Linked DNA regions of Xenopus tropicalis. The protein of the gene in region 1 interacts with the protein of each later gene in a pairwise test. Links are inferred from orthologs where the notes say so. Each region holds a gene or a part of one and is shown on either strand. Other genes may lie near its edges.

The links.
Region 2: the proteins of gadd45g (region 1) and afap1l1 interact in binary tests that used the Homo sapiens proteins (3 or more experiments, as listed by UniProt). The two-hybrid records come from large-scale screens. The link is inferred for Xenopus tropicalis from reciprocal best matches to the Homo sapiens genes GADD45G and AFAP1L1.

The regions. Positions count from the first base shown.
Region 1 is NC_030677.2:138,047,809-138,051,733, reverse strand, and holds gadd45g (growth arrest and DNA damage-inducible protein GADD45 gamma), read right to left. Parts: upstream 2,552-3,925; 5' UTR 2,442-2,551; coding exon 2,389-2,441; intron 1,976-2,388; coding exon 1,874-1,975; intron 1,735-1,873; coding exon 1,521-1,734; intron 1,404-1,520; coding exon 1,293-1,403; 3' UTR 637-1,292; downstream 1-636. UniProt on the Homo sapiens protein: Involved in the regulation of growth and apoptosis. Mediates activation of stress-responsive MTK1/MEKK4 MAPKKK.
Region 2 is NC_030679.2:40,548,255-40,552,834, forward strand, and holds the start of afap1l1 (actin filament-associated protein 1-like 1), read right to left. Parts: upstream 2,863-4,580; 5' UTR 2,334-2,862; coding exon 2,318-2,333; intron 1-2,317. UniProt on the Homo sapiens protein: May be involved in podosome and invadosome formation.

The DNA.
Region 1 (3,925 bases):
GCTTGTTTTGCTTTGCTAAATCCCAGAAGCAGAAACAACTTGCACTTTGGCAAATGTCACGTTGGATGAAGGGGAATTTTAAACCTGAGGGGTGAGATATGGGGAATCCCTTGCTTAAACACAGTGCCAGCTGCTCTTTTCTGTCTGTGCAGTAACAAAAATCTATCTATGCAGCAGCCCCCTGTCACTCTAATGCACTCATTAGGCATGCAGCCCATAGACCTTGCACGCTCTTGTGATAAGCAGCTGTCGCTGAAGGAGCAGCAGGTCAAATGGTCAGGGCTCAATAGAAAGCATTAGCTGCCTGCTGCAGACTATGGATTATACCAAGCAACACAGCCCCCTTCTATGCAAATCTTATTGTGCACTGCTAACAAAAGGGATGACTACAGCACATTGGCAGCTTTCTGAATAGCCAATGTAGTGGGGTAAAACAGACTGCATTTCTACACATGCCCAAACAATAGGGGCCCAAACTGTGAACCAACAGCTATTACAAGACTATAGCTTTTTTTGTTTGGTTGTTTTGGGGGATGCTTATTATTTTGTTCATTTAGAAAATGTAGGTAGCTCAAGCGCTGGGCCGCAGGTATAAACACCCTACCAGATAAGCATAAAAACCAAAACAAATTAAAGTGAGATTTAAAATGATTTATTGAATGACAGAAAACAACATTTTAAATGCCAAGTTTCATCAAGAAAAGCACTTCAATTTGCAACAGTGTCAAAATGTTGAAAATACAGAAAGTCTTTTTTTTTTTTTACTATGTATTCTGGGTAGTAGACTGTAGTAGTAGACTGTAATAACCAATAACAAGCTGCAATGAACAGAATTCAGTCTCAGTTTGCAATCCAGAGCTATATAGTCCCAGACTCTTCCAATGTGTATATAAAGTTCATGTTTCATATCTCAGCAAACTCCAAAAGCAGATACAGAACAGGTTCTTTCCTTTAACCAGCTGCTTAATTTGCCTCATATCCATCTTAAAAGCTTCCATTTTTGCTTTTAGCACATGCAAAACTCCTCCAGCTCCATGGCATGACTGCCCCCCCCCCAGTGCTTTGGGAGGCTTCAAACTGGCACCAACCCTTCCTTTTACAGATCAGTCCATGTTAAGTTTTCCTCCTTACTCTTCTGCTCCACAAGAGCCAACATCTTTGCCAGTCTTGGCGACTTAATCTGACCTCAACCAGCGTAATCCACAGACTTCGGAATGCTGCTGGTCCATCCAGGTGCACAACACCATGATAATAATGCAGAGATTTTACAATCTAATGTAGAGAAAAGATGTTCACTCTGGCAGGGTGATACTGGGAACCCAGTCGTAGACTTTACGGCTTTCATCACAGAATATACCCAGTTTCTCCAGGGCTGGATCTTTCCAGGCATCCTCATTTGGATTCTGAGAAAAGAAGAGGAACAGAGACTATGAGAACACTGTGCTTACAAGAAATTGCACAAGTCACAGCCATGGGCACAAAGCCAAAACATTGCCGATAAGCAGGAACATGACACTTACCGTAATAAGGATGCAGTGCAGGTCCTTGGGCTCTGCAGACTCATCTGTTAAGCCTAGAATTTGAGCTACTTTTTCTGTGTCATTCAGCCTCACGATATTGATGTCATTTTCACAGCAGAAAGCTTGAATCAGAGTGAAGTGGATCTGAAGGGCTATATCACCCTCGTCGTACTCGTCTGCAGCCAAGATGCAGAAAGTGACACTATCTGGATCTCTGTAAAATCAAATTAAAAAAAAGAGAACATTAGTTCTGCTGCCAGCAAGCCTCAAGTGGGACTGTGTGTGGGCTGTGTTACATGCATGCATGAGTAAAGGGTGTGTGTGGGATCAGTGCAAAGGAGTGGGATACTTACACATTCATTACTTTGGCAGACTCATAGACTCCAACGGTCAGACACTCCTCTCTCTGGGCAGAGACCAATAGTTCATGCAGGGCTTTGCCAGCAGTTTGCATCCTACACAAGACAAATAAAAAGAAATGCATTTAGAGCCAGATCATAACTGAATATTTCTTTCCATATAACTGCAAGACTGGATGCTATGGCAGAAATCCCCACACTCCATAAAAGGAGCTTTAGCTAATGCCACCCACTCATGTTCCCCCATCTGCTAACTGCACATAGAGCTGCAGCTACTTCCCAATATGATCAATAATATTGCACTTTGGCTATATGCAACCAGTGAGTCCAAATCTCTGCACCCCTGGATCATAGCGCTTATTTCTGCGGTCATTTCTCCCTTACAAACGCTTTACTCTACTACGACCCTCCTGCAGAGCTGGGGTTGAACTACAAATCCCAGAATCCCGGATAGGCAGGCGGTAGATCCCTTAGAATAAAAGAAGGCGGAATTGGTATTCTGAAATTACCTGTCAGCGCTTTCAACAACGGTTTCTTGTCCGTGAACTTCTTCCAGAGTCATGATTTTCCGGGTAAGCCACAAAAATGTGAGTGCGAGAGACTTCTCAAATATCCACCAAAGGGTCCGGAAGAAGAAGAGTATAATATCCACAGTAGCTTCAGAGCAGTTAGAATCCCAAGCGAAGTGTGAGGAAACGGAGCGACTGAGCCGGTATTTATGCGCTGAGAGGCGTAGGCGGGGTCTGGTCTCACTCCTTTGCTCTGATTGGCCGGGCGGGGGAGGCATTGTAATGCTAATAGAGCAACAGAACGCGTGCCAGAAGGCCACGTGGGGGAGGAGACGAGGGGAAGGGGGGCAGTAGAAAGGAGGGGGGGGCAGTAGAAAGGAGGGGGGGGGCTCAGTAGAATGGCCGGCCGGTGGGCGCACTGGGTTTTTTTTTTTCTTTTACAATGACTCAAAGTCTGCCTGCTGCCCTTTGTCATGCTGTTGCCAGGCAGAATGGGGGTCTTATGATTTGGGCTTTGCACGAAATGGGAGAGAACATCAAAAAGATCCTTAAAACTTCAGATCTTTGCACTGTGTGTCACAAATGCACCAACGGCAACACATTGATTTGTTTCTGCTGTTCTGGGAACACTGACTATTTATTGGCTTGCTCATGAGCTGTGTGTGCAGGGGCAGCAAGCATCATCTGGGCACAGGGCTACAACTCATGGGCTCCATTAACCATGGCAGTGCTGGACAGGTGGGCCCTGTGGCAGGGTGCTCCATACAGGTGTGCTGGGCAGGGATATTATGCTCATTAGCAGGGAAGATCTGATAACCCTTACTTTAAGCAGACATCTGGCCTGCTGCTATTAATGCAATAAAGGCGATTTTAATGACCCTGCTAACGTGGGGGAAGGACGAGGCCCTGTATACAGATAATGGGGGCTGTGTTTGCGGCAGATTGCGAATGGCACACGCTGCTCGTTAGCATTTGTATAGAGGGGCTCACAATGGGGAGAGGGGCTGGCGTGTGGCAGTTTGCAGATCAGACAATCGCTCCCTTCTTCTCCTTACTAGGGACAGAGTCCACCTGCCGCTGGGGTGGGGTCCTGTAGAGGAAAGTGGGACACAAATGGATCTGACAATCTGTTCCACATCGCAGCAACCCCCCCAGCACGCTTCCAGGCTCTGATTGCTTTTTGGGGGATGCAAGGCTTACTTTAACCCTTTCTGCACGGTGCCTAATGCCTTTAGCCCTGTGCACAGCTTGCAGTATGCGCAGCTTCTTGTTAGTGAATTAGTCTTCTGTCCCCTTTAACTTCATAGGGGTCTCTGCAATGGTTATTGCTTTCTATACCCCACTGTTATCTCTGATCCTTACTGCACTTTCCTGGCTCCACACTAACCCCCTGTGCAAGTGGGGCAGGCAGGCAGTGTGTATCCTTACAGTACCATATTAATCTCGGGGGGCTGCATTGCAACATCGTTACTGAACTCATTCAGACACATGGAGAATGGGAGCAGACAGGACTAGACAGGGTGGAATGCACACGGCT
Region 2 (4,580 bases), on another chromosome or scaffold:
TTAATTTGTTGATTCAGATGATTAGGTTAATAGCTCGTTTAGAGAACCTTTTCATGATATGCTAATTTTTTGAGATAGGAATTTTGGGTTTTCATGAGCTGTATGCCACAATCATCAATATTAAAACATGAAAAGGCTTGAACTACTTCAGTTGTGTGTAATGAATCTAAAATTTATGAAAGTCTAATGTTTATCAGTACATTACAGAAAATAATGAACTTTATCACAATATGCTAATTTTTTGAAAAGGACCTGTATATATAGAAACGCACACTGAAAACTTCCAGGGCGTAAAATAATCTATACACTCACAGTACTTTATCGACTGTTTACAGGAAGAAAATTATGGTATGTGTACAGTATTGTATGGAAGTGTCACTGAATGCCAATGTACAGCAGGCCCATTGATATGGCCACCTTGGCGTCACTAAGTATGTTTATAACATGTCTTAATATAAGAGTGGATTTAAACCAGAGTTTTGGTGCAGCCTTTCCGATGCAAGAGTGTTTATTCCTTGCACGAGTCTGAAAGCCATTCAGGGTTTGGTTCTGTTAGAAGAATACAAATAAACAAGGCTACTATTCAGGTTGTTTCTGTGTGAAAGATTATTGTTTTACATTCACATATTTTCACTAATTGAATGTAGCAGTTTCCCTTTGCACAGCTAAAGCTTATGAGCTGTCAGGGTAAGCTCCTGCTGTGCTTAACAATGGCTTAACAACAAGAGGTTGAAGATCAGGAATGTAGCAACAGAGGTCCCCTAGGTATCAGTTTGAGACTTGGGCGCACCCTCTGCCCCGGCTTCCTCCATATCCTGCGTAGAAGAGAAATGGCAACCAATAGGGTGCACACTGCAGAACTGTTTGTTTTTTGAGTTCTATGAGACGTATAAGGACTCAGGTCAAGGTTGGAATGAGCGGTCCTAGCTTAACAGGAAGACAAGACTTTGCTTAGACAAGAGAAAACTTATTTTGTCGTAAAGGAAGAATTCACGTTTTTTCATGACATCATTCTAGGAAAATCAGTGAAAGCTTCGATGTCAAGAACTTTGGTCACACAAGGTGCCAGTAGAAGCATATGGCTTGGGAGCAATACAAATCACTTCATTTGGCAGGATACTTAAAACCCCAAAACAGCAGCAGGCAGGTCCAATGTTAATGACATGTTCCGTATTAGTATTCTGACCCACTTTATTCTCAGCTGTAATTGAATGTAAAGGGCCCTGCTTTCTACTGTGTGTTACCACTATTACACCCATCTTTTACAACTGGGATGTGCAAGACATGCGTCCACATGCTTCTCCTGATTGGTCAGCAGTCATTCCTGCAAGCCCTGTCTGAGAATGGCAGTTTTTATGCACATATTCAGACCTCCCGAGTTGAAAAATTGCACTGTAGTTGAGAAAACCATCTTTAGCTTTGTTTATCAGAATGCCAGATATAAAAGTTAATTAGTAGGTACATATGAATATTTCTTTTGTTATCATACAACGTCTGTTTTTAGTATGGCACGTGGACTTGTAATGATGACATCTAGTTATTCTCATGTGAAGATATCCAGAAAACCTGCAGTGTGGTTGTTCCTTTAATGGCTGAATGAGCATCTATCAGTGGTTTAAACTATTAGTTATTTTAACACTAAGAATCTGCATCTTTTGGACCTCATAAAACTATAAATATACCCTGCATGCTGTGTACTGAGAACACATATCATGCCATGCTCTATTATCACTCCCCCTACTTTCTCAGTGCAACACAAGCTAGAGGGTGAAAGGATGGGCACCCCTGATTGTACAGGCTTAACGTAAGAATGTTTGTGGCTTTGGCAAACCTGTGCTAACAAAGGAAAAATGAGTGCTGAAAGGGGAGTCACTTTGCTAGTCTGGTCAAGGGCTAATTAAATGTGCTGCCCTGACTCACACAAACTAATAGCAGAGCAAGCAGGGAGTACAGCAAAAGCAATAGAAACCTATTTATTTCACTGGAAATCCCTAAGGACATAACAACTTACTGTAGCCATGCACACACACAATAGAACTGAAGGAATTAGGGGGCAATAATATTTAATTCTCTTTGTAAAGTGATACTTTACAATGGCAAGAAGCTGACTGGAAATGTCATGTTTATAGCCAGCAGTGTCATTTCTAGCATCACTAATTTCTTTCTTTCCATAAAACTGCTACATGCCCCCAAGCAGGTAACCAGCATGGCAAGAAGACAGAAAGCAACAAAATAATAACTGCCAATATGTGTTCTATATGTGTGTGTGCTAGCCCTAACAGGTACATCGCAAGAACATGCAGAGGATGAGACTTACCTTTGATTCGCTCCATGTCGCTGCTGAGTGTCGCTGCTCAGTGTGGCTGCTCAGTGTCGCTGCTCAGTGTTGCATGCCCAGAAGTTGCCTTGGCTCAAAAGCGCAGACCTGACCTGTCTCTGCACTGAGCCCTGTAGTGGCCTGTGGAGCTGCCCCGGTATCTTAGGAGCTGATTATCTGATCCTCCAGATCTTGCAAGGGAGCATTTCCCCTTTGCGCTAATAGCTTCCCTATGAGCTTGATCTGTGCAGTGTTATTAGGCAAAGGGCTGCTTGGATGTAAGCAGTAAGGATTAGCCGAGGTGCCTCTGATCTCAGCCCCCTGCCCCTCTCTCATCTCCCTTCCTAGATAAATCAAGGAGGCAAAAAGTCAACTGCAACTTCCACAGCTTTTCCTGTGCCTCCTCCTCTGCCCCCTTATCCAGAGGCCACAGGGTCTTAGTGCCTCCCCCTCCCCTCTGCACTCACTAGCCCACACATTGCTGACAAGCTTTTCCAGGGAGGGTCTGTTCTTGAGGAGTGTCCTGCCTCACCCTGTGCCAGAGGAAACGAGAAACGTTCCACTCCAGGGAAACCTCTCACATTATAATCTCCCTTTGGGATCTCACTGCTTTGCGCTTTCCAAAAATATGCGCCACAGGACAGGTGCGTAGGGCCGGCAGCTGCTGCCTAGTACTGACTGACTGCTGACATGTTAGCGGCGGGCACAATGCTGCACTGTTACACACGGCTCTCAGGCGGGGAAGGTACTAAAACTAAATGCAGCATTTGTTGCTAGATAGATATCCCTAGTTGCTAGATAGTGTCCCTTTCGTCTCCTATTATTAGTATTTCTATTTCAACAAAAGCCAACTACTTCCAGTTTCCCTGGTCTGGAGAGATTATGCTATGTATAAGGGCTCTGGCACACGGGGGAGATTAGTCGCCCGCGACAAAACTCCCTGTTCGCAGGGGACTAATCTCCCCGAGTTGCCTACCCCTGCCATCCCACCGGCGAACATGTAAGTCGCCGGCGGGATGGCAGACGCGGCGGCGCGATTTCGCGCAAATCGGCGAAAAAGACTCGCGAGTCTTTTTCGCCAATTTTCTGAAATCGCCCCGCCGCGTGTGCCATCCCGCCGGCGACTTACATGTTAGCCGGCGGGATGGCGGGTCATGGCAACTCGGGGAGATTAGTCGCCCGCGAACAGGGAGTTTTGTCGCGGGCGACTAATCTCCCCCGTGTGCCAGAACCCTAAAGGTGGCCATACATGTAAAGATCCGCTTGCCTGGCGAGGTCTCCCTGTGAATGGATCTTCTCCCAATATCCACATCTACTGTAATGGGTGCAGTCAGTTCGGGGACTGCATCAACGAGCCGTTGCGTGCCCGATCCGACTGAATCTTTTAACCTGCCTGATCGATATCTGGCTGATTTCAGGCCAGATATCGGTCGAGCAGGCCAGTCGTTGTTGCCCCTACACGGGCCGATAAGCTGCTGAATCGGACCAAGGGACTGATATTGGCAGCTACAATCGGCCCATGTATGGCCACCTTAAGACTAATGTCCCACAGGGAGATTTAGTCACTGTGATTTTTTCACAGAGTTTCAGCACAAGTCGCTTGTCTTTTCCTAATAAGTGGAGCGATTCTATATCCCGTAAATTCAAGGCTCATATACCCCGTCCACAATTAGAAATTCCATTCAGTGAAATGGGGAAATCGCAGCGACTTCCCGCTCCGTGGCTTTTACTTTCAGCGATTCCAATAGTTTTGAATGACAATGCTTTCTTTGTAAAATCGCTCGAAAAAGGGTCCCATAGCGATTCGGAATGATAAGCGATTTGAAGTAGTATCGTCGGTTTAGGTACTGCTGATTTATATTCTTCTCTATGTAGAGACAAAACAAGTGACTTGTCACTGGAACTCGCTTTTTACAAATCGCAGCGACTAAATCTCCTGGTGGGACATTAGACTAAAACGAAATTCGCTATAAAAGAAACGGCATAGAAAGAGCTGTAATATAAATGGTGAATTTATCAAGGTATAGTTTATTTGACACTGCTTCAGACCTGTTACTAAGTTACAGCAAAGCCTCTCTAAGAAAAAACACATAAAAAAATTACAGTTTTGTTCTGTCTGAGTGTGTCGATGTGTTTTAACTGTTTTAAAGGAAAAAATACCCCTTTTCTAATATAATCTTATTCATTTGGGCTTATTAAAAAATGGTGCATAAACACTATCTAAACTGCTCGAAATTAATATAAATTTACTTTTAAAAACATA